Lytechinus pictus: one gene and its partner. The protein of the gene in region 2 purifies or fractionates together with the protein of the main gene of each other region. This does not show direct contact. Links are inferred from orthologs where the notes say so. Each region holds a gene or a part of one and is shown on either strand. Other genes may lie near its edges.

Evidence for each region.
Region 1: the proteins of S-phase kinase-associated protein 2-like (region 2) and F-box/WD repeat-containing protein 2-like purify together in Homo sapiens (affinity purification with western blotting; 4 studies listed by BioGRID). This does not show direct contact. The link is inferred for Lytechinus pictus from reciprocal best matches to the Homo sapiens genes SKP2 and FBXW2.

Annotation. Positions count from the first base shown.
Region 1 is NC_087245.1:43,999,556-44,003,489, forward strand, and holds the start of F-box/WD repeat-containing protein 2-like, read right to left. Parts: upstream 2,613-3,934; 5' UTR 2,398-2,612; intron 888-2,397; 5' UTR 813-887; coding exon 481-812; intron 1-480. UniProt on the Homo sapiens protein: Substrate-recognition component of the SCF (SKP1-CUL1-F-box protein)-type E3 ubiquitin ligase complex.
Region 2 is NC_087255.1:4,700,276-4,704,209, forward strand, and holds the start of S-phase kinase-associated protein 2-like, read right to left. Parts: upstream 2,668-3,934; 5' UTR 2,655-2,667; coding exon 2,457-2,654; intron 1-2,456. UniProt on the Homo sapiens protein: Substrate recognition component of a SCF (SKP1-CUL1-F-box protein) E3 ubiquitin-protein ligase complex which mediates the ubiquitination and subsequent proteasomal degradation of target proteins involved in cell cycle progression, signal transduction and transcription.

The DNA of each region.
Region 1 (3,934 bases), on a different chromosome or scaffold from region 2:
AAGACATCTCAATAAATGAGGAAGTAAGTTTTCAATTTGTAACAATAGCTGGCCAAGCTTTTTAAACTTCTGTATTAAACAGTTTCAAAACATACATTAAAAAATGCAAGCCAGGTCACCAGCTCAATGCATTATACATAGTAAAATACAGATTTAGTTGCATTTGTGGCTTCCTGCATTTACCCTAGTTTGAGGTCTTGCATATGCTCAAAATTTCTTGTTTTTTGCTAGATTTGGTTTGGGAATATGGACCTGACTTTCAGATTCTGATTGAAATTACAATATTATCATGAAATTTGAAAGGTCTGCTTAAAATGCCTTGTTCAGAAAATATAATTTCTCCAATCAGAACTTATGATATGAACATTATATGACAGAAGATGATTTTCAAATTTCATATACTCCAATCTTGATTTCAGTTTGCATTGCAATTACTAGAATTTGCATTTGTAGATAAGAGTCCTTTGGATCTGACGTTACCTGCAAGACTGTTGCCACGCCTCTGTACACTCTGTCACCATTTTGTTCCAGTGATGACTGACTTGACAGCATCTTCCAAGAGTTATAGGATCAAGCCAAGACAACAAATAGTTTGCTAGTTCCTTGGGCAAAAGTCGCAAAAAATCCCTTTTCAAGAGTCCTTCCAATCTAGTGGATAAATGGCGGAGTTGTACATCCCCCGATGATGCAATAAGACAGTCTAATGCTGAGCAACGCTGCTCATTATTCAGGTCTTGAACAAATGTTTTCTCCATGTGACATAACCAGTTTTTGAACTCAGTACCATCCATGTTGATAAATGGTTGTCTCATCTACTGGATTCCAAACAACACATTCTCCATACAACACAGGCTCCAATTTATATTTCTTGCCAATGCTCACCTTTTCTGTCATAAAAAAAAATGATAGGATAAAAAGAGGAGATTGATGCCTGATAAAAGATTTTTTTCAAAAAGAGAAATTTATAAATACAAAATAAAAACATACCGGTAATATATAAAGAGATGTTGAATGCATTGTGATACTGCGTGTCCAGTAAAACATGTAACGACTGTCCACCAAACATTGATTTTATATCATTTAATATAAAAATGGTATACTTTATACATAACGCATGTACTGGAAAAAGTACAGTTGTGTCTGCAAGTTTCCAGGTCAACATGTACATGTATGTATTAGTCAATTTGACATTTTCTCAACCTAGAAATGTTCTTTTCGATGAAGTTTTTTTCTTGATTCGTGTTCCTATGGGTAGAGGTGGGCAAATGACAAATTTTTTTAAACGGGTGGATTCCATGGTCATTTTTGCCGCTGAACACGAATCCGTCAACCAAGACGCGTATAAGATCGGGCGACGATATCATGAGCAGTGCCAATTTAAAAAGAAAATAAAAATCAATCGGCTGATGAATATCGTGAATTGTAAAATACTTGCATTAGCCAATAAAAACGCGTCTTGTAACTAGGCTACGAACAAAGAAGGAAAATGGCGACAAGATCATCGGTGAGTATCTGCTCATCTTCTTACATAATTTTTCTTAAATATTTCTAATATTTATAGTTTTTAAGTATAAATAAATGTACGTAATGGGAGGATTTGAACTTGTTGTCCATGTACATAAGTGTGTGGCTAGCAAGTTAAACAAATCAAGTACCGGTATATTGGAGCAACATTGTTTTCTCCAAAAACTCTCCTTCGTGTGGCCCAATGCCTTCCCGTGCCAGGCGTCATTGGGAGTAAGCCTACGTACTACGTAGTAAATAATTTTTACTCCCAATACGCCTCCAGGCTACTGTGAGGAGCCAAGGAAACATATGTCACATTGATAATCAACTTGGCTGCCAGAAAATGTGCAGATGTTGCTACATTTAACTACATTGTGCATCCATTAATATAGAATTTAGAATGAAAATTTGAGCCAAATTCACCTATTGACTTTTTTAGCACATGTCTACAGCATAAATCTGGTGCATTGGCATTGCCCACCCTAAATTATGCACCGGTAAATAAGAAAAATGCTATATGGCCTAGGGCCTAGACCTATGCCTTGCCCTGGCCTGGGCTTGGCCTTGCATCGGAAATTTGAGTGTAAATGGGGGTCCCCTCCGCGGCACATACCCATTATACTGAGTGCCCCCTCCGGGAGACTGCCAGCTGTCTAGTCACTGGCACTAGCCACGGCACTAGCAACAAATGAGTTAAAACTTAATACTCGGCGATTTAATTTGCTCCCAGTCCTACGGAATCACATGGATTTGTGATATTCCTATTTGTCATGTGCGCATAAAAATCACATGCGCTGGTAATATCAGTGTCCTCCTGACACACACGCATAACAATTAACAAACACAGTGACTGACTGAGACTGAGTTAGACAAAGTCACAGTCGCACTTACACAGCCGTAGATTCTGCAACTTTTGTATACAAGTTGATAATCCAGATTCCAGAATTAGTTATTCCCTCAGCCTCAGGGCGACAAATATGACGAAGCTAGACAAAAATCCCAAATGATGTCTCCAAGTCAGGACCAAGAAGAGTCCAAACGCTGTTAATACACAGTTTCACACCAAGCCGGGTGCGGTGGCGTATTTTTTATTTACATAAAATATCACTGCTCAGCTCCGCGGCCGCCAAAATATTTTTAAAAAAACACACAGAAACGGCTCGCGCAAGAGTCTAACAAGTTGACCACACACGTTTCGTCGTACGTGCACATCTAATGTATCTCCCTGATTTCGTTCATAATAACTTAATCATTTAAACAAACCTTATGATTTCAATATAGATACATAGCTTTTTTAAAGCGTTTAGTTTGTTGGGGCCTAATCCGCTTGCATTACATGTGTAGGAATCGTATGAGCATTTTGTTCGTAGTTATGGCACCTCCAAACATTCATGGTATAACATGAATGAAAGAAATAAATAATAAACAGATAAATGATAACATTCAATTCGCAGCTAGCCAAAGGCTGAATAAAGTAAATTTGTATAGAGTAAAATATCAGTATTAAAACAGATAGTAAAAAAAAAACAAATAGGCCTACAACGTATATCAATGCATAATATATGGAAGAGGGTGAAGATAAATATGCATTCCGAGAAAAAAGTAATGTCAGGAACTGAGAAGAAAGGGAAGAGATTATGAGAAGCCTAAAGTTATCATAGCATTTTAACACAAGTGTAAGAGTAGAAATGATCAATATATGTTTTAAAATAAGAAACATTAGTTGAACTGTATAGAGGTCACTAACCCAGTATGTACAACTTTGTTTATGTCCACTTGTTCACTATACGTCACACTCACAATTAAGGTTTCTTCCATGAAAATTACCATTAAATAGGACAAGTCCACCCCAAGAAAAAGTTGATTTAAATAAAAAGAGAAAACTTCAACAAGCATAACACTGAAAATTTCATCAAAATCGGATGTAAAATAAGAAAGTTATGGCATTTTAATAAAGTTTCGCTTAATTTCTCAAAACAGTTATTATGCACATCCTGGCTGGTATGCAAATGAGGAGACTATGACGTCATCCACTCACTATTTCTTTTGTATTTTATTATATGAAATATTCTAATTTTCTCCTCATTGTCAAGTGATAAAACGATTAATTCCTCCCTGGTCATGTGGAACTAGCATTGTTTCATACTATGTGGTTCAGTCAAGTTGGTCCTTATTGTCAAATCTATAAAAAAATGAAATATTGTATAATTCAAACAATAAAAAACAGAAGAAATAGTGATGGATATCATCGACTGACTCACCTAGTTGTGCATATCACTGTTTTGTGAAAAATAAGCGAAAATTAAAATGTCATAACTTTCTTATTTTATATCCGATTTTTATGAAATATTCAGCACTATATGCTAGTATGATTTTTCTCTGTTTATTCGGTGACAGCCCGGGAGACCGAGGGCCCGCGAGACCGAAG
Region 2 (3,934 bases):
CACATTTTACACACTTCTGATCGTCTCCAACAGGCCGTTCCCGATACTCCCCTTCTAGCATACCGACGCCCACCGAATCTCAGGGACCTCATTGTTCGTGCTGAAGTGCCCTCCCTCACTAACCATTCTTCTCCCATACAGCATGGCACCTTCAAATGCACCAGCAACAGGTGCATCATATGTGAATTACACCTTCACGAGGGCGATACTTTCACCAGCAACTCTACCAGCCTGTCTCACCAAATCAAGGGCAACATCACATGCACTACCACTAATGTTGTATATCTCATCACTTGCAGAGTTTGTAGGGTACAATACATAGGGGAAACCAAGACCACACTCAAGAAACGATTCTACGGGCACAGATCCACCGTCAACACAGCAAAGCTGGACACTCCAGTTGGCCGCCATTTTAACCTCCCCAACCACTCCATCACTGACATGATGCTACAGGGCATCGAATCTTTAGGTACCCGTCCTGACTCAGTCCGTACTAGCAGGGAGAAGCTCTGGATGAGACGACTTCGCACCACCCAACCTCATGGCCTGAACATCCAAGAGGGGAACGACTGATTTTTCTTTCCTATCCACTTTCAATTTATATATACATATAATTTTTCCCCTCAGCTCTTTTGAATAGTTACATTACAGTTTCTTACTCTACTTTCCTCCCATATCTCATACAAGCTCAGCTCCAATTTTTCCTTCCTTATTCAGGCGATATAATAATTATTATATATATATATATATATATTTGTTTTTTCTCCACTCACCTCTTTTAGATTTACCACATTTGCTTATTTACATGTATACTATGGTTTCTTCATAATACACCCCCTCTCTTCTATATTTGCTTTTACCTTTTTAGGCAATTTGCTTCCTCTTTTTCACATATACAGATTTTTTTTTTTTTCTTTCCTACTATATAGTCTTATGTTTTTTCCCGTCACACCTAGCGGATTACCATATCAGTTACACCATATGTGTATATATTTATATATTTTTTCATATACATTTCTTTTTTGGATATATTTATATACATATCACTTATAGATACATATTTACACTTACCTTCTTCTCTTAGTTTGTTTAATGCTTTATCATATATACTTATATGTCTTTTGCACATTATCAGTTGTTCCCTATTCTTTTTCTTCTTTTTCCCCCCACTCTTATGCACCAGTTTATTAAGCCTTTCTTTGTAACCTGTTTGACCCACCTCTCACTAATTCTCTAGTTATTCATCCCTCTATCACTGTTTTGTTCCAGATCCTGTTTGATGTTGCCTGCCTCATTATCTTAATCCCTCTTGGCCTTACTTACACTAACTTCCCTTTGTGTCTGCCTACTCCTTTTCTTTCATCCCCTTCACTAACCTGATTGGTCTTCTCTACTCACTAATGCCCCTTTTGTCTCCTTGTTTCTAGTGACTAGTGTTGCTGTAGCTTGTTTGTGGTCTATATTATGGTTGTTCCACTTTATATGTTTGTCATTTTGCCTCCGACGAAGATTCTGCTAGGATCGAAAGCTTAGGCCCCTTTTTGACTTTATAATTTATCATTATTGTAAGCTTCATTGTTTCATAAATGTTTATAAAAACTCTTTAAAATCAAACTTTTTTATCAAATGTCATGCAAAAATCATGTTATAAAAAAAGAAGATAGGCCTATTTTATCATGGGCTCCAATTTGTATAGAGCAGGCTTACAGCCCACATTATGCACATAAGTTTTTTTATGAAGTAATGCAAATCTTTAAAATGACAAAACTTTATATTTGGCTCTAATATATCATCACCTGGCTGGCAGAAGGGCAGTATGTTGTGTGTGCACGGTGATTTTCAATTCCAAAAGGGTGTTACTTAAATCTCAAGCATGCACTATGCGCCAATTACAAAGTAATTGATCAATTCCATAATTAATTACATTTTTTTAGTAATTGTGATAATTGTAATTGAAGTTTTGAACGGAAAAGTAATTGTAATTGAAAAAAAATGTAACTGACTTCAATTACTGTCAATTACTTTTAATTACATTCAATTACTTTACAATAAACTTACTTTAAAATTTATGATTAATTCCATGACCTATTTCATGTCAACTGCTTCAGCCTCAAAGAGAGTAACAGGCAGAATTCGTGCCCTTCAACCTAAACCTTCATCTCGTCAGTTTCTCTGTAACTTAAAATTATGTTGAAATAGGTGGTAATATGTACAGAATAAAAATTGGTTTCAGTTATGACTTTTCTAGAAAGTAATTGAAAATGTAATTGCAATTGACAAAAGCAATTGGTAATTGTAATTTAATTGAAAAGTAATTGTAAACTGAACATTTCTTCAATTAAATAATTGTAATTAAAGAAAGTAATTGAGCCCAACCATGCTATGCGCATTGTACAGAGTGAGAGATCACGCCCTTCTGCCGGCCAAATCTACATCAGTGACTGCGAAGGAGTTACCTTTTGGTCTGGTGGAGTTTTTTTACTTTTCTGTTTCTGGGTAATCTTTTTCGGCTCTGCCTTGTCTAAAACTTCAACTCCAAGATCCTCATAGATTTCATGGGTTAAGTTAGGGTCAAGGTCCCAAATAACCCCTGGCCTATCATGACCTCCTAGGTCATCCATTGTGATGTCATTGACTGCCAGTTGAGAAGACATGGCTGTCCCAGTTGATGCCTACAAAGAAAAATGAATTTTATAAAAAAAAAGGTTAAATTAACTGTAATTTATAAATGTAGGCCTCTTAACACACCCCTAAAAATGTCCCTCTGACATGCGGCTGAATTGTTCCTAAATTAAATGGTAACATAACATGTTTATTCTCAATTAAGGACGTTCCACAGTTAAAATGAAATCCATGTCATTTTCACCAAACTTTGCACATAGATACTTTGGAACCTGAATATTTGAAATATGCAAAAATCAACATAGGTCCATGTGCTTGATTTTTTGCTATAGAGCTTCAAAGTTCATCCAACTGGATGTTCTTACGAATTGCGCATTCAAAAGAATTTGGCATTTTTAGACCTTGCAAGATCACTACAATGAGTTTTAACCTGTTACTCAGTCTCAATACATGAAAAAGTCATCAAATTTCGCAAGAGAGTTAATAATCGTATCGTTAGAATGGAAAATCTATTTATAGAGCTATTTGTTTGCAATTTTAAGTCTAACAGCACTGTCAGTTCTTAAAAATGGCGTAAAAATAACAAAAACCCAATCTAAAAAAAGTGAAATTTCAATAACAAACTACAAAAGTACAATAAGTGCTGCACTTTATTCAAAATCCATGTCATTTTCACCAAAAATTTGCAAAGTTGTAGAGGAAGGTATACCTAAGAGGTGCAAACATTAAAAAATAGGGCTTCATGTGCTTGTTTTCAAACTATCAGCATTTTCATTAGAGCAAATGTGCTTTTTAAAACACAAAAATGCGCCAAATGCTTTGTATCTATTTGAAGAAAAAATTAAAACCACTCTACCATTTATTCAAACTCAGAGTCATATTCGTGATTTTTGGCAGAACTGCAGAGTAAAGTATTTTGAAATTGTAGAGATGTTTTTTAAAATGGTCCATGGAATAAGTTAAGGTTTTTAGCTTCATAAAACAATGCATCGGATCTGCAGTTAGAGTGCAGATGAGAAAAATCAGTTCATACCCACAGCAAATTAATCACCTGTTCATCCATTGTGACGTCAGCGCGCGGAGTGTAAAATATGCGCATATCTAAATGCGCACAAACATAAGTGTGGAATGTCCTTAAATGTGCAGAACTAGAAATCTCATTTAAAAGTTCTAATCACCCTCCGGCTATGTTTTTTTGTCCAGTTAAAACTTGTGATGTTATTAAAATTATCAAAGGACTAGATGCTAATAAAAGTCAAGGTTATGATGGTATCCATCCGAAAGTAGTAAAGCATTCTGCCTTTGCAATAGC